Notamacropus eugenii: one gene and its partners. The protein of the gene in region 3 purifies or fractionates together with the protein of the main gene of each other region. This does not show direct contact. Links are inferred from orthologs where the notes say so. Each region holds a gene or a part of one and is shown on either strand. Other genes may lie near its edges.

Region 1 (6,803 bases), on a different chromosome or scaffold from region 3:
CCAGCTGTGAGGGTGGAATGAGATCATTATAAAGCCCTGGGCACAGGCTGCACAGTAAACGGTAGTAAATGCAAGAGAATTGGGGGGAGGGGGGTCTCAGGTAGCGTGGCAGCACACCTATGGGGATTGCTTTGCAAGAATGCTGGCTCCGGGCATTGGGTGGCTCTCCCGCTTCAGTCTCGCTCCGGACTGTTCAGCCACCGTTAACTTTCCTAAAGCAGATCGGTTCGTGTCCTGCTCCTACCCGGTCCCAGGCCCCTCCTACCTCTCGGGTATTACTCTGCGATCAATCCTAGGAGCCCGCTATTAGCACAGGAAGACGCTCAGGCTCTGGGTGTCTCCAGCCCCTAGGCCCTGCTACCCCCTCCCCTTCTCCAGGAAGCCTTCCCTAGCCCCCCCCCCCTTTTCATTCAGGAGTCTTCTGTTTCTTGTTCGCATCGTTGTCACCCCCAGTACAACTGACGCCTTAGTAGCTTTTGCCCTTTTTGTACCCTTAGCACAGCCATGGGGTCATGGGGTTGCAGGGGGGCAGAGGTAGCTTGCCAACCTGTCCCAGGATGCCATCTGGGGCGGCAGGAGTCACCTGCAGGGGCCCACCGGGTCCCTTTCTCCAGATTCCTCCCCCAGTGCCGGCTGCAGAGGCTGGGCTCGGCAGCTTGGGGGACACATCCAAGGCTCTCAGAGGAGATGGTCCCTGGGGCAGTGCTTTGACTATCCTGAGGGACTCAAGGGCTGAGCTGGCACCCCTCCTCCCCCCTCTCCCTACCTCCCTCGGGGCCACAGAAGACAACGGCCACTTCACAAGTTAAAGAGCTTTATTCCAATGCGATAAACTTTGGGGGGGCTGTGCATTTAATCCTCCTCCTCGTCGTCGCCGGTGCCCGCCCCTCCCTGGCCCTTCTTGGCATTCTTCCTCTTGACTCTGCCAGCCCGGCCGCCCCCGTAGGGCGAGCGCAGGGAGAAGTCGATGTGCTTCTGCGAGTCGAGGCGCACGATGAAGGAGGGGATGTTCACCACCTGCTTCCGGACCCTGCGAGGAAGGCTGGGAGGTCAGCGCTCAGGACGCCGCGGCTCCTGCTCGATCCCTGGGTGGAGTCGGCAGCCCCTCCCCCTCCCCGCAGGCCCTGCCCCCTCACCTGGGCTGCCCCGCACCTGAGCGCGGCCTTCACAAGGTGTACGGCTGGGCCGCAGTGAGCCTTGCGCAGGGCTGGGGAGGGGCGCCGGCCCCGCCCCAGCTAACTGTGGCAGCGGCTGGGGCGGCCCTGGGGGCTCAGCCCGGGGTGTCACCTGCGGGGGCACACGAAGCCCACCTGATGTGCCTCTGGCGGATGAGCACGCGCGCGTGGTGGATGGACTTGGCCAGGCCCAGCTTGAAGACCTGCGTCTGCAGGCGCCGCTCCAGGAAGTCCTCGATCTTCAGGCCCAGGATGTAGTCCAGCTTCATCTTACCTTCGTCCAGGACGCCGATGCGCACCAGGCGCCGCAGCAGCGCGTTCCCTGCGGGCGGGCGGGGTTAGGGGGCACGCCGCGGGGGAGGGGGGGCGCCCCTCCCCCAGCCCGGAGCGGGGCGCTGGGGACACGCCGCGGGGGTGCCGCCCCTCCCCCAGCCCGGAGCGGGGTGCTGGGGACACGCCGCGGGGGTGCCGCCCCTCCCCCAGCCCGGAGCGGGGTGCTAGGGGCACGCCGCGGGGGGGGGGGGCGCCCCTCCCCTCCCCCAGCCTGGAGCGGGGTGCTGGGGACACGCCGCGGGGGTGCCGCCCCTCCCCCAGCCCGGAGCCGGGAGCTAGGGACACGCCGCCGGGGGGGGGGGGGGGGGGGGCCCGCCCCTCCCCTCCCCCAGCCCGGAGCCGGGAGCTAGGGACACGCCGCAGGGGGGCCGCCCCTCCCCCAGCCCGGAGCCGGGAGCTAGGGGCACGCCGCTGGGGGGCCGCCCCTCCCCTCCCCCAGCCCGGAGCGGGGTGCTAGGGGCACGCCGCGGGGGTGCCGCCCCTCCCCCAGCCCGGAGCGGGGTGCTGGGGACACGCCGCGGGGGGCCGCCCCTCCACCCCCAGCCCGGAGCGGGGTGCTGGGGACACGCCGCGGGGGGCCGCCCCTCCCCTCCCCCAGCCCGGAGCGGGGTGCTAGGGCCACACCGCGGGGCCGCCCCGCCCCCACCTCCCGGCTCCCCGCCCCCACCACCTTCGAACAGCCGCCGCGGGTCCTTCTCGTCCAGCGTGAGCAGCTCCCGCGCCGCCTTGCGGATCTTGGCCAGCGTGAACTTGACCCTCCACACCTCGCGCTTGTTGCGGAGCCCGTACTCGCCTGGGGGGAGGGGAGGGGAGCACGTGGGTGGACGCGCCCCCCCCCCCCCGCCTCCCCCCAGACCCCCCCAGCCCCCTCGGCCGCCCGCCCGCCGCTCACCGATCAACTTCAGCTCCTGGTCCAGCCGCGACTTCTCAAAGGGCCGCCGCGGCGTCACGTACGTCTTCCGACACACCCAGCTCCTGGCGACCGGCATCTTGGCCTAGCGGGTACGGCACGGCCGCGCCTGCGCGTGGGGGCGAGACACGCGGGCTCGGAAGGGCGCTCCGGCGCCTGCGCGCGGCCCGGGGGCGGGGGAGGGGAGCGGCCCGGGGACCAGGCCGAGCACGGGCGAACAAGGGGCCGAAGGGGCGCTCCGGCGGCCGCGCGCAGAGCGGGGCCTCGGGGGCCGCCGCGAGAGCTCCGAGCCCCGTCCCTCCTTCCCTCCCGCCCTCCCCAGCGCAGGCAGCCGCCACTCACCTGCTGCAGTTTCACAACTACCGGGAAAGGGCCAGGCGTGCCGGCGTGCGGCTTTTATATCGCCGGGGCGGGGCCGGTGACGTCGGTGCGCGAGCGCGGAGCCGGCCAATCGGAGGCGAGCGGCCCGGACTGGCGGGGCCGGGCTCGGGGCCTGCCCGGCCCTGGTCCTGGCCAAGCCGCGGGCTCCAGCCCAGGTCTGGTCCGAAACCCCGATTGGAACATGGGCGTGGTCTGGACCGGAAGGCCGCCGGGCGTGGGGAGCTCACTGCCTGTCCCTCGGACCGGAAGGTCTTAGGCACGTGCAGCCGCCATCGGCCTCTGGGCACCTTCACGGCCCTACCCCTGGGGCTGCCCCTCCCCCAGCCCCCATGCAGGTCGTCCGCCCCCCCCCCAAAGGACACAGACCTGGACCCCGAAACCGCGAGCCTTCTGAATGACCCTATCCTGGGGTCAAGCTCCCGGAGGCGCGCAACCCCCGGAGCGCTGCTCCAGCTTTGGGGGGGTCGGCCGAGCAGTGGTGCCCCTGTTGAGGTTTGGGGTGCTCGGGACCCCAAAATACCGACAGGCCGGGTCGACCCAAGCCTTCCTTCAGCCCGAGTGAAACTTTTATTGGTCGTCCTCCATGTTGGGCTGGCTCTTGAGGGGCCTCCCACGTGCCACGGGCCGGCCAGAGGGTGAGCACCCCGATGGAGACGAGAGAAAGGCTGAGGGAAGAATCCAGACGGGGCCGGGCAGCCTGGGGCTCCGGGGATGCGAATCTAGGGAGGACCTTGATGGCCGGCCCGCAGCCTGGAGCCCCGCCCCCCGGCCCCGGTGATCCCAGGCCAAGCCCGTGTCTCCATGCCCCTTCTGGGGATCCCACCAGGCCCTGCCGCAAGGACCCGGCAGGCCGGCCACCGACCCCCCCCCCCCCCAGGGCGGAAACCATCCACCCGCCCCAAAGCTGAGCTCCCCCAGGGCGGGGCCGCTGCGTTTTTGTCCGTGCCCCCAAACTTCCCGCGGGACCTATTGACCTATCCACAGGAACCTGAATGCTTTAGGGTTAAGGCTGGTCCTCAAGAAAGAAAAGAAAAGGTTTCAGAGATTAAAATTTACATCCCCTTTGGGCAGAGTGCCCCTAGGTCGCCCCACTTAGTGTGTGCTTGGGCCCTGGTTGGCACCGCCTCAGTCAAACTGGGATGGGTAAAAGACCTTAGCTTCAAGGTGCCCCACCACGTCCTGGGCCATCTCCGGTCGTCCAGATCTACACCTGCCCACCGGGCCCAGACGTTCCGCTGAACCGGCCGTGGGATCCCACCGCCCAGGCGAAATCTCCCTAGAGTTGGTCACATCTTCCCAACTCCTCAGAAACGCAGACTGTTGTGGGTACGGACAGCAGGCTGCCCGTGGGATTGCAGACCACGTGGCTGTGGCTTCATTGGGCTGTTCTCAGTACGCACCGAGGGATGCGCTAGTGGGAGGGATCCTCCAAGCAGAGCACACACTGATGCTGGGACAATAAAACCGCAAACATCTGACCTTGCACTTGGGCTGATTTAGGTTTGGGAAAGATCACATCATGCTTCTCTGGACTTCTCAGTAACGTGTGGACAAAACCTGGCTGGAGAGCGTGGGAGACACACACACACTAATAAATGAACAAATTTATCTGCTAAATAATTTTCTTTAAAATAAAGGGGATGCTTTCTTCAGCTATTTACAATCACCTTCAGTGATAAGGAGTCTTTTCATATGTGGTGTGTGTGTCCATCCTTCGTCGCCAAAGGCCATGCCACTTGCACTTGACTTTGTTTGGAGTCAGGGAGGGCTGTGCAGGTCATCAGCCTCACTTCTCCAGAGCTATCTGAATCCAGTGACCAGGTAGTCATCACAATGACCAGAGATGACCCAGGATGAGGCAGTTGGGGTTAAGTGACTTGCCCAAGGTCACACAGCTAGTGAGTGTCAAGTGTCTGAGGTGAGATTTGAAGTCAGGTCCTCCTGACTCCTGCACTGGTGCTCTATCCACTGCACCACCCAGCTGCCCATTTTCATATGTTATTAGCAGATTGTTTGGTCATGTCCGACTCTCCTTGATCCCATTTGGGGTATTCCTGGCAAGAATAATGGAGTGGCTGGCCATTTCCTTCTCCAGCTTATTTTATGGATAAGGAAACTGAGGCAAACTGGGTCAAGTGACTGGCCCAGGGTCACACAGCTATTCTGAGTCCAAATTTGAACTCCGGAAGACTAGTCTTCCTGATCCCAAGCCCAATGCTCTATCCACTGCTCTACCTACCTGCCCAGCCATCATGAAGGGAAGATTAAAAAAATGATCACTCTCTGGGCAAAGGGACTTGTTTTGTTTTGTTTATAACTTAGGAAGGAGATTTTTTAAAACCCTGCCAAGATATAAATACCTAATAGCAAATATTCACATTGTGCTTTATTTAGGACTAGCACTGGAAGGAACCTTGGAGGTCATGGAATCCAAGCCCCTTACAGATAGGGAAACAAGCCCAGAGAAGGAAAAGGACTTGCCCAGGGTCACAAGAGACAGGATGTGAATTCAAGTTCTCTCCAAATCCAGCAGGTCTACTTCCTCCCCTCCATGAACTCATGACTCCCACAGCAATCAGTCAACAAACAGTGATTGAGCTCCTGCTGGGTACCTGGCCCTGGACTAGGCACCAAGGATGTAACTATAAAAGCCAAACAGTCCCTGCTCTCAAGAAGCCTCCGTTCTACTGGAGAGATGCACATATGAACATATATCCACATGGACATGTTTGAGTGTGTACACGTATACATACATATACACACCATACCTGCATCCATTCTATTGCAGATGTACATATGAACATGTATCTATGTATGTATGTATGTATGATGTGTGCGTACATATAAATATGTACGCACACATATACCTGCATCCATTCTACTGGAGATGCACATGTGAACATACATGTATATGTGTATGTGTATACACACATGTACCTATATATACACACCACACACATATATATGTATATATGCCATACCTGCATCCATCCTACTGGAGATGCACATATGAACATGTATCTACATGTGTGTATATATGCATACATATTTATACATACACACACATATACCTGCATCCATTCTACTGGAGAAATGCATGTACTAATATACATGTATATGTGTGCATGTGTATGTGCATATTCATATCCACATGTATACACACACCACACACACATGTGTATATGTGTATATATATCATACCTACATCCATTCTCCTGGAGATACACACATAAACATCTATTTATCTATATATGTATGTTAAGGTAGGCTCAATTCTCACGTGAACGGTCTTGGGTCAGGTACAGGTGAGGACTTCTTGAGCTCTCATGAGGCCCCCCCAGAGAACAGCTGGGAATTGAGGAGTGAGACACGAGTTATCTCGTTTTCCACCTCTTCTCAGTGGAAACTTGCTTGAGGAGAGCATCCCACCCTTGAGATTGGTTCGTGGTCTGAGCACACCTTTTGTTAATTGGCTAAGGGGCTGAGAGCATGCAGTCCATGAGCGAACTACCAGGGGGAGAGCTTAAATGGGGACAGGAAAGCCTGAGGGGTTGTCGTTCTTCCTTGCTCCTCAGGAGGGAGAAGGGGGCTCCCACAGGGAGCACTAGCCCTGCATACTGACATGTAGCTTGTATCTGGAATAAAGCCTACACCTCTGTTTGACTCTGGAGGTCTCTTCTCTCATTCGTTTATCCGGCTGGCCATGGAAGACCTGAGTTAGGTAAGAGAACCTGGGCAGCCCATGGCAATTAGGCCAGGCATATGTATGCATATATATGTATATATGTAATATATATGTATGCCTGCATCATATAGCTGTATATAAACATACACACATAGTCTATACAAAAGATGAATATAAGGTGATTTGGGAGAGAGGGCTCTAGCACTGAGAGCACCAAGAAGGGACTCCCATAGAGAAAAGCCCCCAACCTGAGTGTGGAAGAAAAATGGATTCCAAAAGGCAAGCGTGAAGAGGGGGCCATTGCTAGGAGGTTTTAGGG
Region 2 (7,819 bases), on a different chromosome or scaffold from region 3:
AGGAGAGAATGGTGATAGCATCTGTCCTACCTTTTTGAGTATAGTACGAACAAAATTAAAATGGAAAGTCCTAAGAAAATAAAATGTACTGTTTCAATAATAATCATTATTACAATTAAAGTAAAACTGGGTTAAAGTCTGCATACCCTTTCTGGCCAAATAAGTATTAGCCAACAGAGGCCAACAGAAAAGACGCTGAGGTATACTGCAAAGATGAGGGTAGAACAATAGTTTCTGTAAAGAATGGAAACATATTATACTCTCCACACTGCAAAAAGCAACGGATGAACAGAAATAATACTTCTCCACTAGACTACAAATCCTAGTGCACGTTGGTGTGCTATTACAGTAACTATGGCAGGAGTCACAGTAAAGTCACACCAAAAAAATCTATTAAGGCTATTTCAGAAAATTCCAAAGTTCAGAAAAAGTCACATTAAGCCCATCAAAAAGAATAAGAGCATTCTTTCTTTTAACAGACTGAAAAAGATTCAATTCTGCAGATTTAGGGAAGATTTAGGTTATTACACAGCATGTACCTCAATAAAGGACAGTACTGCTGCTCAAGCACAACACTTTACAATCTAAAGGAGAAAATAACACACAAGTATAAAGCTGTATAAAGAGAACCAGTTTAAATAAGGGACAACTACCCTAAGAACCTTTAAAATACAATCTGGAAGTAAGAAATACAATGACTTTCAATGAAAAATGTATACCAGAAGTCTTGTAAGAAATGTCAAAATTACTAAGGTCTATGGATAGAAAATAAAAAAATTCCTGAGCTCGTACAACATACCTTTTTACAAAATTATTATATTAACATAAGCTATTTAATTTTTATTCATACACTTAAACTGTAACTCAATTTTAACTTAATTCTTTTGACTTGCAGTGTTCATTACATTTCTTTGTTGGGATTTCAATAAACTTTCCAGTCTGCCCTAAAAATCATTACAACTACCCAACCTCAAAACCTTAGCTCAGTCTCAGGGTGGGTCTAGGGCATTTTTCACCCACTTTGATTTCTAGTATGAATGTTTAATACAATCTCTTTCCTATCCTATAGATTTCAGTAAAAGGGTTTTTGTGAGTTCTGGGTTTAATGTGACTTAATGCATCACTGAATAGGAAAAATACAAGGCTTTTTATACTTCTATACCTCTCAATCACTAAGGACTCTAAAATGTGGTAGCATGCCTCTTCCCTTCTCATATTTTCAAATAAGGGAAAAGATGCAAGACGAGATTACGTGAAATTCAGAAGAAGTCTAAGATAAGGCAAAAGCACTTTGCAACTTTTAATAGCACTCAATAAATCTGAGCTATTATTATTACTAACAAGCTGTAGGAGATTGAACAGGATGGCATCTCGGAAGTTAATTATCAAATACCAACGACAATCTCAAAAGAATAAACTTTTGAATAAAATGTTAAGCAACCCAAGTAACAGGACAAATGCAGGGCAAACACAAACTTCAAGGTAACTACGAAGAAAAACCTGAGTGAGAAAAGACGTAAAGGGAAACATCAAGGACTTCATAATCAGAAAAGGAGGGCAGGCTGTCCGTGTTCCAAGAAAAACAACAAATGGACAACTGGAGTGATACTTTCCTACCCCCGCTACCCAGCTAGTTCACGAACCAGAGGAAGAAGAATTTACGAACAAGAATCATAAAAAATGGGAAGCGCATGGAGAGGGTCTGGGATCTGCTTCAGCCTGAAATCTGCACCAATTACGTGTTTAAAAATCAAAAACTCCTGATATAAAATACCATCTAAAACTTTCCAAAGTTGGCATCCAAGTTTGCTCGAAAAGAGACGACGACCAACAACCCCCGGCAGTGTCTGTAATTGTGACACACGAACGGCTCCGGGGCATCCCGGGCCGCCCCGCACCCTGGGTCACCCGCGCGCCCCGACGTCGCACGGAGGCTGGGCCGGCCGCCGGCCTCGGTTTCCTCGCCTGGAGAACCGGCACGGTCAGAGCCCCGGCCCCCAGGGGGCCGTGGGGACGCGGCTGGGGGAGGAGGAGAGGAGGGGCGCCCTGTCAGTCCGGGTCCCGGGCTCCCCAGCTGTCACCGCCGCCCGGGGGGGAACTCGCCCCGATTCTCACAGCCGAGGGTGGGGGGGGCCGACCCCCGCCCCGGAGGAGCCGGCCCCGGAGGGCCCGCCCGGCTGACTTTGTTCTCCCTCCCCCGCCCCCGCGGCTCGGGGCTCCAGGCAGGGCCTAGCCGCCCGCGGGCTCGGCAGCCGGCCCGGCGCTGGCGCAGCGCACAAAAGGAGGGCGGAGGAGGCGGAGGAGGCGGGGGCCGGCCCGGCGCGTCCGTGCCCCCGAGGCTGCGGAGGGGGGGTGCGGGCGCAGCTGCTCCCCGCGGCGGGGCCCCGGGGCCTGGCCGGCTCGTTCTCCATTGTCTCGGCCGTGCCGGCCCCGCGCGGCCGCCGCTCGCCCCGCTTTCGAAAGAGCCACAACTTGGGTGCGGATGACCTCCGAGCGGGGGGCGCCGAGGCGCGTCCCCGGGCTCCAAAGTTAGGGAGAGGGGCGCGCGTGCTCCGGCCGGCGCGTGGGGACCTGCGGGGGGCGTTAGCCGGCGTCCCGGCGGGCGCCCGGGCTCCGTCCCTCCCTCCCCGGGCTGCCCCGCTCACCTCCATCTCCGCGTCGCCCGCAGGGGGGGCGGCCGCGGCCGGGGCGCTCTCCACGCCGCTTTTGTTGTGGTTGCCGCCGCCGCCAGAGACGGGCACGGCCGGGGCGGGGGGCACGGTCTCCGCGGTCGGCGGCGGGGGTGGCGGCGGCTCGGCCGCGGACGACATGCCTGCGGCGCGGCCGGGCACACGGGTGGCGAGGAGACGCCGGGACGGAGCTCTCCTCCCTCTCTTCCTCCTCCTTCTCCTCCTCGCGGGGCCCGCCGGGCCGGCCGCTCACCTCTCAGCGGGACGCCCGTCGCCTGGAGCGGACGGCTGGGCTCGGAGTCGGGGGAAGGGAAGGGAAGGAAGCCTGGGAGGAGGGGAGGGAGAAGGAGAGCGCGCGCGAGGGGCAACTGGCTGCTTTCCCTCTGCGTCCTCTCTCCTTGCAGGCGCTTCTCAGCCTCCTCGCCACCAACCAGGAACCAATGCCGTCCTTAACACAGACGCCGCCACCGCCGGCTTCCAGTTCTCGCGAGAATGCGGGCTCGCCGGCCGGCCCTCCGATTGGCTGGCCGGCCCCACTCGCTCCCTAGCGCGCGCGCGATGGCCCTTTCCCCACCCCCTCCCTCCGCCGCACGCGGGGCGCTGGAGGGGCGAAGAGGGCGGGTCCTGGGATGCGCGTGGAGATTGGGCGAGCCAATGGGCGCCCGCCCGTCGCCGCGAGGAGCGCACTCGCACGGCCCCCAACGACCCCCCTCCAACGGCCTTCCCCTACTGGTCAGGCGCTGGCCTTTCCTTTGCTGGCTCGCTTCCAGGGGGCCGACGGGGTCCCCGGGCGGCCCACGGCGCAGACCCGGAATCCCCGCGGCCGGGCCCCGCAGGAGTTAGGCCCCGGCCCTCCGGTCAGTCCCCTGCCGTCGTGCTCTTGAGACGTCGTCCGAAGCCGCGCCACCCGGCCCTGCCCGTGCGGTGCGGCCTTCCCGCGACCTCCTCCCGACGCGGACCTGCGTGGGTGTGGGCGCGGAAGTCCGGAGCCCGGGGGCAATACGTGACTCGAGCAGCGCCCCGGTGGGCCGAGGGTGGGGTTTGAACCCAGCCCTTTCCCGGTCCACTTTAGGATTATTCTAGATCCCACGCCCCCTCCGAGGATCCACAAAGTTGTTCCTCACAGTTGGGAGCGCCCGGAGGGACCCACGTCCCCCGAGTCCGGAGCCCCGGCTCCCGGGACCATACCCAGGATCGCGGACTTGGATTTGAATCCGGGGCCTGGGGAGCCCCAGTCCTCCTCCTATGCACCGGCCGGCATCTCCTGTTTGGCCTCGCCGCCCCCAGCGTGCTTCTTTCCCCCTTCCTTTTTCCTCCCTGTAAGCTCAGAGGAGACCCACGAAGAAAACGCAGCCATCGTCGTGAGTGGGGCGGTGGAGCCGCGCCCGGGAGGGCAGGAGGCATCTTCCAGGCAGAAGCTCCTGGAGAGGCGGGAGAGACTGGCATTGTGCGTGGGTCCAGCGCTTCTGTGAGCAGCCTGGCATTGCTGGCCGAAAGGAGCCTTCCGTGTGCCCTCCTAAGCATCCATAACACCTCTTTGGGTGGCAAAGACCCTCAAAAGCGCCCGTGGTCCCCCCTCCATCGCGAAGAAAGCCGTGCCACGGAGAAGGATGGCATGGCTTGTGCTGGCCTCTGTTGGGAGGGAGGGCGGGCTGGGCTGGGATGGCCTGAATGTCATACTGCTGTCACATACATAATGTGAAAAGCCAAAGAAGCACACCGCCCTTCAAGCATCATGAGTGTAGAGCTGGAAAGGCCTTGGATGCCGTCAAGTCTAATCCGATTTTACAGGTGGAGACACTGAGGGGCAGAGTTGGTGGGGGTAGGCCTTCAGTAACACAGCTAGGAAGTACCTGAGGCAGAATCCCAACCCAGGTCTGCCCCTGGCCTTACTGCATCACACTGCCCCCCCAGAATACAGATGTGGCAAACTCCAGGGGCTGGGTGTTGTTGAGTCTTTTCAGTCATGTCCGACTTCATGTCCCTGTTAGGGGGATTTCCTTGGCAGAGATGCTGGAGTGGTTGGCCTTTTCTGTCTCCAGCTTATTTTACAAATGAGAAACTGAGTCAAAGAGGGTTAAATGATTTGCCCAGGGTCACATAGTTACTAAGTGTCTGAGGCCACATTTGGACTCAGGTCTTCCTAACCTGAAGCCTGGCGTTGTATCCATTGTACCACCAAAGAGCCCCAAATAATCTTAGCTAACATTTATATAGCACATACCAAGCGTGAGGCACTGTGCTAAGTGCTTTATGGATATTGTCTCCTTTGATCCGCATAACAATCCTGAGAGGTAGGTACTTTTGATATTTCCATTTTACAGTTGAAGTAACAGGCAAAAAGGTTGAGACTTGTCCAAGGCCTTATTTGAACCCAAGTCTCCAAGACTCAAAACTCATCATTCTATCCTCTTTGCTACCTAAGAGGTTCTATGCCAAAGGTCAGTAAGGGGCACAGTGACGATTCATGCTCGTGTCTGGATCTGAGTTCTGTGTTCTTTCCACTGTTTCACACTTCAGCTAATTCGGAAAACTAACGAATCTATGCACATAAGTAGATAACAATATATTCAAAGTAAACAAGAGAATTTGGGAGAAGGAGGTAATAGTGCTTTGAGGATCAGGAAAGGACACAAGTCAGCACTTAGGCTGAGCGATGAAGGAAAAAAAGCAAGGGACTCGAAAGGTGGAGTTGAGGAAGAAACTCATTCCAGGCTTAGGGTAAACCTGTTCAAAGACAGAGACAGGAAATAAAATGTTGTGTATGAGAGACAGTGAATAGATCTGTTTTAATTAGACTATGGAGTACAAAAATGGAAATAGTAATATGTAATAAACTTGGGAAGATAGGCTAGGAACAGTAAAGCTGATCAAAGGATTTTTTTATTCATTCTAGAGGTCATAGAGAACCAGTGACATGTTTCACTTAGCAATTGTGTAGAATACATGAATAAGAGAGGTGAGAGCCTTGAGGCAGGGAGAACAAGTAGGAATCTATTGTCTTGGTACCAGTGGGACTCGAGAGCCTGAACTAAGGTGGTCACTGGGTAAGTTGGAGAAAGACAAATAAGAGAGAGGTTATGGAGATAGAATCAAGAAAACTTGATAACTGTTTCCATATGGGGGTGTGTGAGGGCATGGAGTCAAGGGGAAGAAATATGATGTGGGAGAATTGTGTTCATCCTTCGTTGCCAAAGAAGGCCATGCCATCAGAGAGATGACATGACTTGTATTTGACTTTGTTTTGAGTGAGGGAAGGGTGTGCAGGTCACCAGCCTCACTTCTCCTCCAGAGCCATCTGAATCCAGTGACCTGATATTCCTCAGGATGACTGGAGATGGCCCAGGATGCACTGGGAGACCTTCAGCCCTTTAGGCCAAGGTCTCATGCAGGAGAAAGGGCATTGAACAAGGAATATATCCAGGTTCTATTTTTACCCAGCTGAGGCAGCTGGGGTTAGAGTGCTGACTCAGTACAGGAAGAGCTGAGTTCCAATTTGACCTCAAACACTAGCTGTGTGACCTTGGCCCCTTGGAGTCACTTAGCCCCTTTCTGCCTCAGTTTCTTCAACTGTAAAATGGGGATAATAATAATAGTAGGTGGTTGTGAGAATCAAATGAGATATTTGTGAAGTGCTTAGCACAGTACCCAGCATATAGTAGGCACTTAATAAATGTTTGCTGGCTTTTCTTCTTCCAGACCTCACCCCTACGCCTTTAGCTCTACCAATAATTAGCCACATGACCCTGAGCAAGTCATCCACCAAATCTTTGAGACTCATCTATAAAATGAAGTGAATGAGCTAGATCAGAATCGTCAGATCAGTGGCTTTGCCCCTACCCCTTGCTACACACCTAAGTTCTACAGGAATCAAAATGTAATTGGGAAATATTTAACAAAATAAGTAAAAAATAGAATATAGAAAATGTTAATGTGTGATTTTCAGTATGTAGCCAGCAGGAATATTTCTATTGGAGTTTGATACCACTGAACCATATTATATCAGATATGCCTTTAAGCTTTTCTAACATTGTATAACTCCTCCTACCCTGAAAAAACTAAGACTAAATAAATGCTGTAATATATGTACTACATAATACTGTCTTGTCTGTGTCTGGTTTTTGATTTGGTTTGGTTTGAGTTTTTTAAGAATAATCACTAAAGTCAGTATTTGTATCTGCCGTTACAGAAAATATTTGTCATCACATTACATTTCTTTTTTCTCCCTTGAAATTTACCTAGGTCTATCCCCCAGGTTGGGATGAATAAAAATAGATCCGTCCCAGGATCTAGATTTTAAAGAATCAAACATCCTCTTGGACAACGCCCTTAAAGACAGCTTTGTGCTGCTTCCTTCTTGCTACATAGGAAAGAGATGTCACTCCCAAGGGTGACTAAGAGAGATCTAAACCAGAAGTGTACAACTCAAATAGAAACAAGACCACTAAGCCATACATAAGGATCCCTACAGCCTGCATATTGACTTAGAAAAATGCATATTAACATTATATTCTATTGTATTTTTATTTTGTTAAATATTTTCCAATCATATTTTAATCTGGTTCACACCCAACTCAGCACTTACTTTAAGTTCTCTTAGAGAACATCCAAGAAGGAGGGAGAGAGAGAGAGAGAGAGACTGACTCTTGGTGGGAGTAGTTTTTAGAGCCAAGGACATGATAAGCCAGCTCCTATTCATATAAGGGAGTGTTACTTATCTATATTCATATATCCTAACCAAGACCACTAATGCTCAGTTGACAAATTCAGAACATGAAGCATTCATCCTAAAAATGACTTAGAAAACTGTTCAAGATATGCACATAGAAATGAAGCCTGTAAAGACAAACCACCCTTTTCCTTTTTTTTTCTTTTTTTATTCAGAATACAGAAGAAAGCCCAGCAGAATGGCTACGTGGAGGAGTGTTTGGTAATTGGCTTGGGAGTTACATATGTTTGTAACTTTCTCTGCAGAGGTGAGAAGACAAAGACCTGAGAGTAGGCTTTCCCAACCCAAAAGGTGGCAGCAATAGGGATCAACATACAGTTCCCACAAAAGTAGACATGCTTGCCCACTCAGCTTGAGAGGGGAGTTCATGGGCAACATTTCTGAACCACAAATTTTCTGTGCAGAGGAGACAAAATTTATT
Region 3 (8,192 bases):
AAACTGTCTCTATACCTAGGAAACCTATATTTCACCAATGAGACTAATTGCATCTGACTATACAAAATGAAATTTAATTTGAGATGGGGTAAAAGCAGTTAGCAATGAAAAAAGTCTTCATAGAAGAGAGGGCATTTGACCTGAGTTTTGAAGGAAACTCAGAATGCTATAAAGGCAAAGGGAGGAAATACACCAAAGGTCTGAGGAAAAACTACCACAGAACAATGAAATCCTGTATCTCTGAAATACTGAATTATGAGCAAGTATAATTCCTTACTTGGCTCTACTGCTTATTCACTAAAACTATTAATTTAGCCTAAGTGAGCAAAACCAGAATACACTACTTCCCAAACTAGTAATGGATTTGAAACTTGAGTAATACAAATATAACCTTGAGATGCAATGTAATTAAAATTTATTGTCTTTATTACATAGCATAGCAATTGGGGATAATATGTAGTCAATATTCAGACTTGGAAGTAGTACTTGCAGTACCTACGTAAGAAGAGTAGTGTCTCAGTCAGAAGACTTAGTATGAAGTTCTATCTCTGACACATACTGGTTGTGTTAACTCTGGGCAAGTAACCTACCTTCTCAAGTGCTCTAGGAAACTGGTCAGACTAAGTTGCAAGAGAAAGTGAGGACCTGCATTAGTAAATTTATAATTATACTTAGTGCATACTTAACTATCTCACAGGATGCAAAAAAAATTCTTAAACTTTAAAACATTATATAAATGCCAGTTATCCCAATTTTGGCTCTGAAAAAAATGCATTAAAGCAGAAATCACAAAATATTGTTATAAACCCCTAGTGGGGATATGTGGCAAGAAAAAGTGTGAATTATATAAGATTAGAATCAATGGATTTACCACTTAAACATTGAGCTCAAAATAAATAATCACAGAAAAAAATTTAAGGTCTTACTGTAGGCTGCACAGACATTTTCAAAGATGCCAGTGTTACTTTAATTGGATTGCCTTCATAGTTCAGTGCCTCTGCTTCAACAATATGCAATTCATCTTTTGCACCAGCCCCTAAACTCACCTGTAAAAGGAGAGAAGGAAAACAATCTTTTAGTAATTCAGTTTTAAAAGCTCCTAAATCAACTAGTTACGTGCTAAAGGAACACTGACCAACCAAAAAAATTGCTACCTGCGCATCATCGTAAAAGTTTGTCAACTTTCTTAACTTATAAGCACTTGAGAAAAAAAGCTATGTACACAGCACAAATCTATCTGTATCCATTACTTTCCTTTTGAATACCCACGTACTAGATGTACGGCCATGAGTACTTAAGTAAGATTATTCTTGACCTACTATGACCCAATGAGCTATGCCTTAATTAAAAGTATGGCCTTTAAAGGCCATATCTAAAATGTGGACTTAGATTTTATCCTGTTAAATGAACAAAAGAAAGAAAAAGGTAAATTTAAATAATGAAAATTTACTTACAGTCCTCAAGGACAACTGGTGCTCATTTTCATCATTATCTACCTTAAAATGATAATCTTTGTCAGCCTTTAGTTCACAACCTGAAAAGGAGCAGGAGCCATAGTTTTAACCAGATACCTCATAAATAGCAAACGACTCATCCCTTAAAAACTGAATATTAAGAGAGCTAATACTTGCTCTACCTTCACCTTAAGAGTGCATCGAGGTATATAGGTTTAAAAAAAAAAAAAAAGCTCAGTGAATACGTCATGTTTTTAAATCCATAAAAAAATTAAAATCGAATCATAAATTCAAACAGATGGACTGGAACAAATTTGTACTTGTAATTTTTCCAAAGTGGAATTTTGTATTTTTTTCAGAGGGAGAGAGATCCATTCTGATACACAAACAAGTTGGGCGGGTGGGAGGGGACCTGAATCCTACTTATCCCTAGAGATTGAGTATTTTTTCCACTCTATCAACGTTAAAAATTTACTCAACTGGTTTCATGCAACCAAGAAGCATTTTTAATTTACGAAGGGATGCCTCAAAGACCCCTCCCCCCAAAAGGCTATCTTATCGAGTGAGACAGAGACAAAATGTGCCCACAATGGAAATAGTTGGGTACGCAAATGGCCTAAGTTCTGCAATACAAGCCAGGACGGGTTTAGCAAACCACATGGAAAAAACCAGAGTACATACATCAAACTACTAATGTCTGCTGCGTCCTGAAGTATAAAGCATCCAAGCCAAACTCCGGTTGGTGCCATTTCTATTAAAGACTCATAAGCAGCCATCTCTGTGTTTCCAGTCCCCCCCACCTTAGGCCTTGTGGCGATCCTACATTTCCCCACACACTGCAGCACACCCACGTACAGGACCGCGGAGCCTGGATGCTCCAGAGATGCCTTCCGCCCTCAGCCGAAGGCCTCGAGGGCGCCACGTGCTTCCTGCAGGAGGCCCTGTAGCACCCAGGTTTTCTGCCCACGTGCCCCACCCCCCACCCTCCACCCCCGGTAACGGGCCCAGCAACGGTGGCAACCAAGCGGGTCCCTGCTGAGACGCGGCTGCGCGGTTCTGCCGGTGGCCTTCTTAGAGACGGGAGGAGGCCGAGCTCCACTAGCCTAGACGCAAGCCTGTCGCCGACCCCTCCCTAAGCCCCTCCTCACCCTCCCCTGCTCCACAGAAAACCAAATCCGGGCCTCTGGGCCGTCATCCCCTCCCCCACCGTCGCCAGGCCCGCAGCCTTCGCCTCCAAGGCCCCCTCCGCATCCATCAGCAGCCACCCCACGCCCGGCCTAAAACCCCCTCCCCGACAGCAGCCCGCTACAAACAAGCTGCTCCCCGGAGCTGCGCCCACGGGCCACATTTGAGGAGGCTTTCCAGTCCTCACGGCCCATCTAGGCCCCAGCCTCGGTCCCCAACAAGCCCCCCCCAACACACACATAGGCCCAGGCTCGCGACTGGCCGCCCCGCCCCCAACCCTGCAGCCGCCTCTAAATACACAGCCGTTACCGAAGAGGAAATTCTGGGGCCGGAGGGGGCTCATGTCCATTTCCATGGAGTCCTCCATTGGTGCGGCGATACTGAGGAGAGAAGGGCAGTGTTCAAAGGAGAGCGACGAGGCGGACGGAGAGTGGCTCTGGCTCCCGAGGGGCTCCGATCAGGACGGAATCACACCGAGGAAAGGACGCGGGCTCCCTGCGCACACATATAGTCCCTCACAGATCTCGCGAGATCTGCCACCGTGAGCACGTGCACGTCCGGCCGGTCTCGCTCTCCGCGCGCCCTCGTCTGCCAACCACAGAAAGGGTTTGGTGCGCGCGACGCCGCCTGCCTCCTCCGCCCGCGCGCTCCCGACGTCAGCAGGAACGAGCTCTGCGCCGCCATGTCTTCGCCCCGACCACACTCTAGCACACACGGGCACGCGGCTGGCGGGCTCTCTAGACCCTGGCGCGCCCCCGGCGTGGGGAAACCCGCGCTGCTGACCCTGCGCAAAATGGCGGCGACGCCCCCACCCCCCACCCCTTACCCCCCATTTTAGTACTCTTCTCGAAGAAATCAGCCCGATGTTGGAGAATCCTAGTGTTTTCATCCTACTGACCTGAGTCTGTTTGAGAAAGGCTTTCAGCGTTAGCCATTCACGGCCTTCTTCCTCCAGCCCCAGAGGCCTCGGGGAAGAATCAGGACCACGATCTTTACAGACTGCCGGGGCCGACCCCACCCGTGCGCCCTGTCTGGGCCCAGGATTCCCCGCCTACGAAAGGGGAGCGTTGGCCCCGACGGCCTGGCCCCGTTGCGATTCCACGGCTGCCACGAGCAGCCGAAAGGGCCCAGTGTGGTTGCTGAGCGATGCCGGGCTCTGTGGCCCGCGGCCCAGAGCGCCCCTGCGCCGCCGCGGCCTCTCCTCGGCACGGATGCCGGCCTGCTTCGCCAGTCCCTACTCCGGTGCACTCAGGCAAACCGAGGGCTGGTCCGCAGTCAGGCACCGTGCTGGGGTGACAGCCCCACGAAGGGCAGCGATCATTGCCCCGGGCTACATCGTACTAGTCACTGAAAGCCGGCCATCCGGGCCACTGACCTCCTAAGATGGGTTCAGAGTCCGAAGGGACTGGTTGTTGGGTCGGTCCCAGCTCCTCGCCTCCCCATCTGGGACTTTCTTGGGTTTGCCATTTCCTTCTGCCACTCATTTTACAGATGAGGAAACTGAGGCCAACAGGGTGAAGTGACTTGCCCAGGGTCACCCAGCTCATGAGTGTCTGAGGCCAAAATGGAAGGCAGGAAGTCTTCCGACTCCAGGCTGTCTCCTGGGTGCCACTGAGCTGCCCTGAAGGCATCTTAGGGACCATTTAGTCCAAGCTCCTCATTTCTAAGTGTCCAAAGGAGGGCACGGTCACATGGGTGGCAGACCCAGAATTTTAATTCACATTCTGTGATTCCATTACATAGAATGTGAACCCTTGTCTTTTGATACCAGAACCACCATACTTTTCCTTGCACTAGCCTACTCCCCCTCCTACTGCCGCAGCAGGCTCTGACTTAGTAGAGAAGGAGGATTCGTTGCATTGAATTGTAATATCATGTGAAGAACTCTATGCCTCTAAGGCAAGGTGTTGCTTATGTTGGATGAGTCAACATAAACGTGTATGACTGATAGACACATGAACAAAGCCAAGAAATAAAGATTAGAAAAATGGACAGGATCATACCTGGGAAAGTACATCAAAAGCACATTGTTGCTTTAGTAACAATATTCTGGTGATGCTATGAGGCTCCATTATTATGGAAGAATCAAAATTGCAAATGGTGGGTAAAGCCAAGTTGCATGGTGTTGGCAACAATAATGTACTCCAGAAATGACATTAATGAGGGAAATTAAAGCCATATATGAATGAAATAAGTTATGGGACTGGTCTTGTAGCAAGAATGAGAGACAACAGATTGGCAGTCTGACAAACTGCTTCCTTTGAGGGTTTGTTTTTTTTTTTTTTTTATGAAGGTCTATAGTGTTTAGGACCAACCTTCTAAATGTCTCAGGATGAAAGCTTGAGGAAATGATGGGGTCAAGTAAAGACACAGAATGGTCCACAGGTAGCAAAGTATGGGACTGAACAATAACAAAGACTCTGACATGTTTGTAAACATTGAGCAATAAACCAGCAATCTGGAGGACAAGGAAGGTGACACGAGATAAGTGCCCAAGTGATCAACCGAGAATCCCTACTATTCACCTGGAACTGTGCTAAGTGCTGGGGATACTAAAACAAAATAGCCTCGGCCCTCAAGGAACTTATATTTTATATATGTGATGTAGGCTCAAGCCAAGAGGCCTTAACCTCTCTAAAAAGGATTCCCTCATCTGCTAAGAGTGATGCACGGGAAGAGAGAAGTAAAGATATACACAAGTTGTTTTTTGTTTTGTTTTGTACAGAAGCTTTGAAATGTGGAGTTAGAGGAGATATGGGAACTAGTAACAGCCTTGGTTTACTCAATAACGTAGGAGGCAAGGTCATCTGTTAAGAGGAAGGGAGTGAAAATAGCTTTGGGGGTTTGATGAGAGGAGGTTTAGAACAGCCTTTGCAGAATACATGATAGTCAAATAGGGAAGAATAAAAGGATTCTTGTGCAGTGGTAAAGGCCTACTTGAGATTAGATAATGGGAATATGTAGTGGTCTCAGCACAATAGCATGACTTTCTTCAGTGCCATCTAGCACCTCAGAAATAAGAGTAGAGAAACCACATGGCCTTGCTAACCCAGGACTGATAAATGGCTGGTTGTAGCTATAGAAGGACAAAGAAGAAAGGGATTCAAGGGTATAGGACAGTGCATAGGTGAAGTGCTTACTATATAGGGCCAAGGCTGAAAAGAACGAAGCCAGAATCCTCAGGTTGGGAGAGCAGGGAAGGATAGAAGAGCTGAAGGTAATAGTGAGGCCACAGATAGGTTCAGGAGAATGAAGAAGGAGGGAGGGAGGGAGGGAGGAAGGGATGATGAGAGTGGTGAATTTCAAACCTTAAGGTCATACATGTGGCCCAATTTTTGAGTATGAATTCTGCCTCTACCATCTACACACTAGGTGACCTAGCACGCTATTTTTTCCACTTTTTTTTTATTCGTCTTGTATAAAATGACTAATATGGAAATGGTTTGCATAATTGTACATTATAACCTATATCTGATTGCTTACTCTCTCAGGGATGAGGAAAGAGAAACATTATCTTCAGGAGGTCTTTTGTCTATGAATGTGGAGATGGGTTAACCAGCCCAAACCTGCCCTTCTTATTTCCTTTCTGTTTCCAAACCAAAGTTTCCTTAAGGTTTCTTTGGCCTTTGTGGTAGTGGTGAGGTGCTTGAACCCCAGCCCCAGGATCATATCTCTCTCTCCCCAGTCCAAAGACCCTTTCTCTGGCAGTAACTTCTGGGCCCCCCACAGTGAGGCCATCTCTCCCTGTTATAAGAACAAGCTGACCTCTGTAGAATTTCCCTTGTATGAACAGGATGGTCTTGTACCAGAAGATGCATCATGTACTGATTTCCACATTTACTGTATACAATCCAGAGGTAAAGCTATACACATCAACTCCCCAGGCTATCTTGTTACAGAAGAAGTAGACGAAAAACACACAGCTTAGAAACCCTTCCTCTCCACCCCAAAACACCACTTAGAAGCCTTCTCTCCTTCCCCCTCCCCTTTTCCAGTAGTGAATGACACCTGTGGCCAAGGTACAGGAACTATGTTCCTGTAAGAGCTGACCACTCCTTAATTCCACCCTGCACCACCTAATTAGCATACTTGGTACACCATTCACTGAACTATTCTATATAAGCTTTAGCATCACCCCCATTAAGTTGGAAGTCCCCTAAGGAACTTCTCCTGCTTTATCAGCATTACAATAAACTTTGTCACTTGACTGGAAGACAGAGTGGGTGAATTCATTCCAAGTGACACTGCCCTGTACCCTGACATTTTGGGGGTCTCAGCATCCCTAAACCATGTCAATAGGAACCCAGGGGAAGGACTTTGTCTTTTAGGCAACATAAGTAAAATAGTGAGAGGCAGCATAGTATATTGGATAGAGATATATCTGTTTCTGAGTCAAGAATACTTGGGTTCACGTTCATCTCTGAAGCATGCTGGCTGTGTGATGCTGGACAAATCCCTGCTGTAGGTTGCTTAGGCAGGTGTTGATGTATGTTGGTAGAGGAATGCTTCCTTTTGGAACATTTCCTACGCCAACAAAGACACAGGTCCTATTTTCAAAAAAAGAAGCAACTTGTGTCTCCTTTTTGTCTCTAAGACAGCATGACTGTTCGCTGCAGTAGCCTACCTGGTGGTCCTCCACCTCAAGTCTCTTCCCACTCTAGGCCATCCTCCACTCAGCTGCTAAAGAGAACTTCCCAGACTGTAAACTGTCCACTCCCCCTTCCCCCACCCCCCCACTCCCATTCAATAAACTTCAGTGGCACTCTTACCTACAGGATCATCCTCTGGCTTTTAAAACCCTTTACAGACCTGGCCCCTTCATACATTTCTAGTCTTATACTTTACTCCCCTCTGCTTGTAAGATCCAGCAACACTGACCTTGCTTTTCCTTGAACAAGACAGGATAAATATGATTTACAAGAAACAGCACAAAATGGAGGACAATAATTGATTTGGTTCACAAGATGGAGTCCAATTATAATTACAACTTCATAATTTCCCCCTTTTATTCCTTAAAAGACTTGTCTTTACTAGATCGCTTCATTGTATGGCTAAAGCCTTGGTTATAAAAACAGAATAGCAAAGTTAAAATAAAGCGAATCGTCTAAAAGTCAATTCTATATAGTCATGTTCAGGACTGAGATCTTGAGCTAACATAAAATTCTTAGAAGTTAAATTTGAGCAAGCTTTATAGAAGAGATAATACAACATTGAATACAGTAAGGCAGAAAAACAGTTAGGGGGATTAAGATAAGAAGACATGATTATGGTAGTTAATATGCCCCATCCTAAGAACCAGGAAAATAACCAAGAAAACTAGGAAGGGAGAAGTCCCACTATGTTGTATAATAAATTATTTTCCCCACTGGGCTTTCCCAAGTTTAACATTATCGTAGTAGCAAAAACATAGTTACAGAAGCAGAAAAGATAAGGTATCAAAAGAAGTTAATGAAAACAACCCAAATCCTTATTGTCTACTTTTTTTAAAAAGTTTGATATAATTCAGTTAAAGAGGGGTAGAATGTCAGATAGATGGCAATCTTGTCTCTTAAA
Region 4 (7,517 bases), on a different chromosome or scaffold from region 3:
GTCAGGTTGAATTCTAAGGACAGATAAAAAATAAATCCTGGCTCCTTTCCCTGGGAAGTAGGAAACCATCATCAGATCTAGGGTCAGAGGAATGATTGCTTTCTCTTATTTACTGGCCCTGTCTGAGTTTCCTAATTATTCTGAAGATTTTTTTTGGTCCAATATTCTTCATAAAGTTTTTCCATTTGGACATATTTCCTTTTTAAGATTGGTAGTGCTGGGATTACTTAGAATTATTGAACCTTAGCTCTAGAAAGGTCCCCAGAAATCATCTATGAAGTTCAATGCCTTTCTTTTCCACAGAACGAAACTGAGACAGACCTAAAATTGGCTAAGGCTACAAAGATAGTGACAGGCAGAATACAGTCTGGAACTTGGATCTCTTTACTCCAAACCTAGTGCTCACGCACTATTATTTCTTAAGAGGTCTCCTCCAGGTTTTGATGATTTTAAGGATTCTATAAGTAGAATATGAAGAGACCTAAGAGACCAAGCAGTCCAACCCTTTCTTTTTTACAGCTCAAGTGGCTTGCCTTGGGCCACACAAACAGAAGTGGGTTTGAACCCTAGTTTCCTGACTCTGTAGTCAGAACTTTCCCCACAGTACTGCTGCCTAATTAAAAGACAAAGCTAAGACCCATGAACCAATCAGCACACAGGATTGTGTATTTTTAGGTCACAGGTGATGATGTGCTACTTCTAGGGTAAATGAATAAGGGTTGGTGTTAGAGGATGGCTCCAAGGAAACAGATGGGTAGGATTTAGAGAGGGGAAGAGATCGGGGCACAAGAATGAAAGGGAGAGGGCTAGTTGTAGGAGATCCGGATCTCGCCCACTTATGTTGTTGTTCGGTGGGTTCTCTTCACGACCCCATTTTGGGGTTTTCTTGGCAGACACTGGAGCGGTTTGCCATTTCCTTCTCTAGCTCATTTTACAGATGTGGAAACTGAGGCAAACAGGGTGAAATGACTTGCCCAGGGTGTCTTGAGGCCAAATTTGAACTCAGTAAGACGAGTCTTCCTGACTCCAGACATGGTACTCCCACTTCCACACCCAGCTGAGCACTCTGTGATGAGGATGAGGATGGTGAGCTCCTTGTTTTGAACTAAATGTTCAAGGGACCTGATCCAAACTAAGAAAGATGAGGAGATGGGAGAATGGCAGTGGCAGCCTGGGGAAGACTTGGAAAAAGAGTAACTTACAAGTGAAATTTAATGAGTTAAACGTCCTTCACCCTCCCAGAAGAATCAGACATAACTGGGTGTGCACTCAAGGCCTTCCCCTCAGTTCCATCTTCTATTAGAAAAACTCCTGCAAGTCATGTTTCCAGTCTCAAATATCAACACCTTGCGGTCCCAGAAGCCCGTTTTGGAACAACGATGGCCCAACGGGGCTCTGTGGTGGGAATTTTAACCCCTTCACCAACGAGTTCCAGCGCAGAGCTGGGGGCAGGCATCTCTGTGTGTCCTAAAAAAAGTCTGAAAATTCTATCCCTAAGGTGCATTTCCGAAGTCCGGGGCTGTGTCGTTTACCACGAAATATCTACGTGCCGAGAGCTGCCATTTCCCAGCATTAAAACGTGCACGTCCATTAAGCGAATTTTTTTTTTATTAATTTTTTTATTTTTTTAATGTTTAACAATCACTGCCATACAATTGCGATTTTATCCCTCCCCACCCACCCCCCACTACCTCCCTCCCTCCCCACGACTGCATACAATTCTGTATAGATTCTACATATACTTTCCTATTGAGTATATTTTCACTATAGTCATGCTATGTAGTCAGACTAAGATAAATGAAAGAATCCATATAACAAATCAGAACATGATACACAAACAGATACACATACACAAACATGATCTGCTACATTATGTGAGTGACTTCCATTAAGCGAATTTTTTAAAAAAACATCTCTTGCGGACAGCTGCTCATCTGCTTGCCCGACCTCAGCCAAAGCCCAAGGAATATGGCAGCGGGAAAATCAGAGCCCTCCAGGGGACAATTTTAAAGGACGGAAAATGAGGCCACTCGGCCTTTATTTTTTCTTTTTCCCGTCCTTCCTATCTGAGGATCCCACGGGTGATGCTCACTTTTGGACCATTCCTCCACCGCGTGGGGACGAGATAACATCGGGGAGGTGGGCCCCCAGCCGGTCTCGGTACCCAAGCCCCCCGCCCCGAGCAGCTGCGGAGCCCGCCGTCCACGCGGCCTGCCGAGCCCGCAGAAAGGGCTCCTAACGGACCCCAGCTGGCTTCTTCCCGAGGCCCAGCCTTTGCTGCCGGGGTCCGCAAAACCTCCTCGGCAGGCCCGGAGACGCGCCGGCGCCTACCCCATTCCCGGGGCCTAACAGGATCTTCTCCGAGAAGATGGTTATCGTTTTTAAAAAGGCCAAAAGAAAAGTTTAGGGACCTCCCTAGGTGGGGGAGGAGCAGCCCCGACCCGGAGCTAGGCAAGTGTACACAAAGCGGCCCGGCCCAGCCGGAGGGGGAGGGGTGGGGGGGGTCGCGAAAACCCGGCAGGGGGTAGAGCGCAAGGCCAAGGGCGCCCCGCCCCCACCCCGGCTGCAGGATCGAAGCCTCCTGGGAATGAAGGCGGGGGGAGGGGAGGGAGGGGAGCGGGGGGAGGGCCCGGAGAGCTCCGGCTCACTTTCCCCAGGCCCCGCCGGAGAGGCCACCCAAGGGGCTTCCCGGGTCGGTCCTCCTACCTGCACCATGATGGCCAGACGGAGCGAGTCCTTGGCGATGCTCTCGCCGCATTTCTTGCAGGAGGCGCGCCCGCTCTTTGCGTACTCGGCCCGGTAGGGCTTGTCCGCCGGCTCCGCCATCCTCCCACCGCCTTCTCCTTCCTTCTGTCCTCGGAACGCGTGGAACGGCGGCGCACCACCGAGACTGGCCGTGAGCGTCGGGAGGGGGAGCCCCTGGTCCCCACTTACGCCGCGTGCCGCCTCGCCTCCGCCTCTCGCGCGCCTAGCTTTCTCTCCCGCCCACCGCGGGCGGCCCAGGGAAGTGGGCTTTGGAGTGAGCGCCGAGAGCCCTGCGCGCGCCGCGCCGCTCTCCCGAGATAGATTACTAATGCCTGCGCTTGGAGAGGGGTGGTGGGGAGGAGGCGCGAAGGGGAAAACCCCTCCCTGGGAGGTAGGCGCCTTTCGGGTGGGTGTGGCGCGAGCTGGCCCGAGAGCGTAAGGCGCCTCCTGGCGGGGAGACCCGGCATCGCCAGTCTGCCGAGCGATTCAACTCCGTTAACCTTTGTCAAGTACCGACTACAGCTAGTTTACCGAGACCGGAGGCTGCGGGACCCTGGGCGAGTCCCTTGCTTTTTCAGAGCTCTAGGAAACTGGGGCTACCATCCCCCTCCCGCCGATGTATTTTTTTCTCTTGTTTGGGCACAGCTGTTTGCATCTTTTTGAGAGCAGATATAAGGGTTTTGTTCGCTTGGGTTATTTTTTTTTTGCCTTTCTTCGTATCCCCGCTGCTTTGCAGGGTCTGGTGGTTTTCAGTCGCGTCCGACTCTTCATAACTTCATTTGGGGTTTTCTTAGGAAAGAGGAAACTGAGGCAAACAGGGTTAAGTGACTTCCCCAGGGCTATACAGCTGGCAAGTGTCTGGGGCTGGACGTGAACTCATCTCCTCTGGACTCCAGGGCCCCGCTCTATTCATTAGCCCACCTAGCTGTCCTTGCAAGTAAATACATGCTCCTGGACTTCTCCGCAGGTTCAGACCAGTCCCCCCGGACTAGGGAGGAAACAGACAAAGGCTTACGTAAATACTTGGACCTGGCCCCCTCCCAGCTCAGCCCAGAAAGGAGAAGACCTCGCTGATGGATCTGCATGATGTAATGTGGTGTTGGTTCTTAAAAAGGATCAGTGACATCACCGGGTGACGTCTTGCCTCTTTGATGAACTGGATTTAAGTGAGCTACCAACTCAGCCTTACTCTTTCTTCCTTAAGAAGACGTGTGTGTGTGTGTGTGTGTGTGTGTGTGTGTGGTGTTCCCGATATTGATAGAGGTGATTTCCTCACCCTGGACTTCATTTAGGACTTCAGTCCTTCTCTGGGTGGGAGCCGGAAAGGGAGAAGGGAGGGTGAGGAGGATATACAAAGTTTACATAAGATCCTACCTGCACTTTATCTGGGTGAAAGTGGGGGTTGGCTACGTAGATGCCTCACTTGAGTTTCATAGCAACCAGATGCCCTTTATTGCTACTGTTGCTCTGTTGATTATCTCCAATTTATCCTATATGTATCTTGTTTGTATATAGCTTGTATATTGTCTCCCCCATTAGACAGTGAGCTCCTAGAGGGCAGGGACCGTCTTTTGTCTTTAATTTGTATCCCAACACTGGGATACATTTAGCTATGGGGTGTCCCGGGTCTGTCCCCGGGACCTTCGAGTGAGAATCTCCCTTCGGTGGGCACCGCTTCGGACGTCTCCGGACCTACCCCGGGGGACACGGCGGCAGGCAATAATCAGGCAATGCGCAGGAGGTTCATAGCTTTATTGCATGGAGGAGTCCCACGAGCAGTTCAGGGCGTTGTCTTATATAGGGAGGTTCTTCCGGGCTGCCATCCTAACCCGCCCCGAGGGCGAGGCCTACCACCCGATTGGATCCAGCCCACCCGACCAATCCCGTGGGCTCACAACTCCTCTATGGGAGCCGTGTCTCCCTCGGATTGGTGGGCTGCCACTCCCGGGGAGGCCCCTATCCGCCCAGGCGCCTAGGACCGACCCCCGTCAATGGGGGAGGAGAGGAGGAAGGAAAAAAGGGGAAAAAAGTTTAAACGATAACTTTATTATATATTTAAAAGGAATAGGAAGTCGTACTTAATAGATTTCAGTTTCATGTGCCATCATCTTTTTTCTTCTATGTTATGGAAATACTTGTTTCATTTCATAAATTAAAAATAAATAAAATTTTAAAAATTAATGCTGTTTGATTAATAGTAAGATTATCTGAAGTTGTGACTTGCGCACCCACAATCGCATATGTCTCGACAGAAATGAGATCTGAATACAGGTTTTATTGATCCCAAATCTATTGTTTGATTCCCTACACCAGGCTGTTAAAACCTTGATTGATTTTCCTAGAATAAAAATGCATTATTCCTTTGTTAGCTTTTCTACCCTCCTTTTGTGTATGATGCAAGAATATTGAATGTCGAAAAAATAGAAAAATTGTACACATTTTAAGTTTATTTTGATAATTCTTTGTCTCTGAGATCAAAGATGAAGTGGGAACATCTTATTATCAAGAAATTTACCATCTGTTTGGGAAGGTAGTTCATAAGTGCACTGCCAGGGAGAATGTGAAAAGTGCAAAAGGGAGATCAAAACTGCTTTGAGAAATTTAAAGTGAGAGAGATTCTGTCTAGTTGGGAAGAGTCAGGGAAGTTTCAGGCCCGGGAGATGAACCTCGAAGGAAGAAGATTCCCTCAAGTAGGATGAGGGAATCAGCACTTGCGGGGAGTAGCCCTGGAATCAGGAGGACCTGAGTTCAAACTGGGCTTCAGACACTTACTAGTTCTGTGATCCTGGACAAGTCACTTCACCCTGATTGCCTCCAAAAAGAAAAAAAGAAAGAGAATGGGAATGGGGGGGAGGCGATCTATTCTTGGCAGCGTGAACAAATATATAGAGAAGCAAGAGGTCAGGAAACAGTGAATAGTACCATATAACTAGACCAGGAATGGGGAGGCTACACGTGTCCCTCTAGGTTCTCAAGTGCAGCCTTTTGACTGAATCCAAACATCACAGAACAAATCCTTTTATTAAGGATTAGTAAATAATAAATACTTAGAGGGCCACATGTGGCCTCAAGGCCACAGGTTCCCCACCCCTGGTCTAGCCTGTAGAATATGCAAAGACAGTAGAGTGAGATAATCTTTCAAATACAGGTTATAGCTGCTCTGTAAGGGGAGGTAGGGGAGGCTTAACAAGCTAAGACGTTTTGACTTTATTTGAAGGCAATGGGGAGCCACTGAACTATTATCATCTTCAAGTTAAGGGATGGTAAGGACCTAAATAAGGAAAAGTTGGATGGTGTGGAAATCTGTTGTGAATCAACAACTTGTCACAAGGGGAAAGAGCCCTGACTGAGTCAGAGGGTAGGGGTTCACCTTCCACCTCGGATGCTTATTATCTGTGTGTCCTTAGGCAAGTGATTTAATTCTTCTGGATGCTGTTTCCTCATCTGTAAAATGGGAGAATTGGATTGAAGTCTCTTGTAACTCTAATTCTGGGATCAAACCATACCATTTTATAGGTAAGGAAACTGGAGACCTGCCCAGGTCAAACACAATTAATTCAAAATGAAGGATAAAGGGGAGACAAAACAAAAATGGCAGATTGTTAGTCTCTGTGAGTGGATCCAAGGGGAGAAAATTGATGAACATGCTCAGTTTATGATATATCCAGGTGAAGCTATGCTATAGACAGTTAGCCACGTGTTACATCTTAATGTATATTGTGATAGGTGAAAGATGAAATGACTGGGAAAATAAAGGTTTGAGCTTCCAAGCATATTGATTTATTAAGCAATATGTGCCAATTGCCTAACAAATCAGGACCAGGCCTCTTCTTCAGCTCAGGGCTGGACCCTGAATACTAGAGGAAATAGATTTTTATACACTAAAAACAATCAAGTAAGACCAATTAATTAAAAGGAAACAACCAGGATACATTAGGTAATCTGATTTCTAATTGGATGAAAGATTAAGGACTTTCTAAATTGGGAGGGGGAGAGAAAGCAAGTGAAATTCCCTGAAATTAGAAAAAGAGATGTCTTATTCCCCCCAAGTGCTTGCATTCAACCCAAGTAACATGGGAACAATAACTGACTAATTGGTACGGGGCTAGTTTTCAGATAAGACACATGGGTTACATTGAGATGTATAATTGTGAGAAGATTCCTTGCATCCACTAGGCTTTAGATCTGACCGAGTTCTGGTCGGGATAACCTAGGTCCTTTGGGTGATCCAATTTTCCGTCAGGCAGGGCTAGATTCAAACAATGCAATGAAGTTTTCCTACAATTCCCACAATTGAATAAATGTTTTTTCAGAAGATAGAAAATAGACTAGACCAGGGGTGGGGAACCTCTAGACTCAAGTCCACATTTGACCCTCTAGGTCCTCAAGTTTGGCCCTTTGACTGAATCCAAATTTCCCAGAACAAATCCTTTCATTCGGGGAGATTCCTCACCCCTGAGGAACTACTCACCCTCAGTCTAATAATTGAATAGAAAAGGGACTGAGCTAGCTCCTGAACAGAGTAGGTGGAATCGGTGGGGTTCACTCAATCCCTACCTCCACTTGCTGTTACAATCCCCTTAATTCCCTCAATATCAACATATGTAAAGGGCTTTAAATGGAAAAAGGAGTGGAAGGGAAGAAACATAATAAACAGAGAGGAATGCAAGAAAAGAATCAGCAAAAACTTATGGCCTCTAAAGTCGATATGCAAATATGTAGTTGTTCGGTCATTTCAGTCATGTCTGATTCTTTGTGAACCCATTTGGGGT

What was found.
Region 1: the proteins of NPM1 (region 3) and RPS9 purify together in Homo sapiens (affinity purification with mass spectrometry; 3 studies listed by BioGRID and IntAct, with this or other methods). This does not show direct contact. The link is inferred for Notamacropus eugenii from reciprocal best matches to the Homo sapiens genes NPM1 and RPS9.
Region 2: the proteins of NPM1 (region 3) and SMARCA5 purify together in Homo sapiens (co-immunoprecipitation; 3 studies listed by BioGRID and IntAct, with this or other methods). This does not show direct contact. The link is inferred for Notamacropus eugenii from reciprocal best matches to the Homo sapiens genes NPM1 and SMARCA5.
Region 4: the proteins of NPM1 (region 3) and PARP1 purify together in Homo sapiens (affinity purification with western blotting; 3 studies listed by BioGRID, with this or other methods). This does not show direct contact. The link is inferred for Notamacropus eugenii from reciprocal best matches to the Homo sapiens genes NPM1 and PARP1.

Annotation. Positions count from the first base shown.
Region 1 is NC_092876.1:13,041,581-13,048,383, reverse strand, and holds RPS9 (small ribosomal subunit protein uS4), read right to left. Parts: upstream 2,982-6,803; 5' UTR 2,761-2,981; intron 2,528-2,760; 5' UTR 2,498-2,527; coding exon 2,401-2,497; intron 2,302-2,400; coding exon 2,179-2,301; intron 1,498-2,178; coding exon 1,311-1,497; intron 1,031-1,310; coding exon 853-1,030; 3' UTR 798-852; downstream 1-797. UniProt on the Homo sapiens protein: Component of the small ribosomal subunit. The ribosome is a large ribonucleoprotein complex responsible for the synthesis of proteins in the cell. Part of the small subunit (SSU) processome, first precursor of the small eukaryotic ribosomal subunit.
Region 2 is NC_092877.1:140,691,788-140,699,606, reverse strand, and holds the start of SMARCA5 (SWI/SNF-related matrix-associated actin-dependent regulator of chromatin subfamily A member 5), read right to left. Parts: upstream 3,198-7,819; 5' UTR 2,811-3,197; coding exon 2,646-2,810; intron 1,794-2,645; exon of another isoform or gene 1,778-1,793; coding exon of another isoform or gene 1,775-1,777; intron 1-1,774. UniProt on the Homo sapiens protein: ATPase that possesses intrinsic ATP-dependent nucleosome-remodeling activity.
Region 3 is NC_092872.1:403,041,422-403,049,613, reverse strand, and holds the start of NPM1 (nucleophosmin), read right to left. Parts: upstream 3,245-8,192; 5' UTR 3,007-3,244; coding exon 2,949-3,006; intron 1,535-2,948; coding exon 1,455-1,534; intron 1,047-1,454; coding exon 927-1,046; intron 1-926. UniProt on the Homo sapiens protein: Involved in diverse cellular processes such as ribosome biogenesis, centrosome duplication, protein chaperoning, histone assembly, cell proliferation, and regulation of tumor suppressors p53/TP53 and ARF.
Region 4 is NC_092873.1:409,803,126-409,810,642, reverse strand, and holds the start of PARP1 (poly [ADP-ribose] polymerase 1), read right to left. Parts: upstream 3,070-7,517; 5' UTR 2,827-3,069; coding exon 2,707-2,826; intron 1-2,706. UniProt on the Homo sapiens protein: Poly-ADP-ribosyltransferase that mediates poly-ADP-ribosylation of proteins and plays a key role in DNA repair.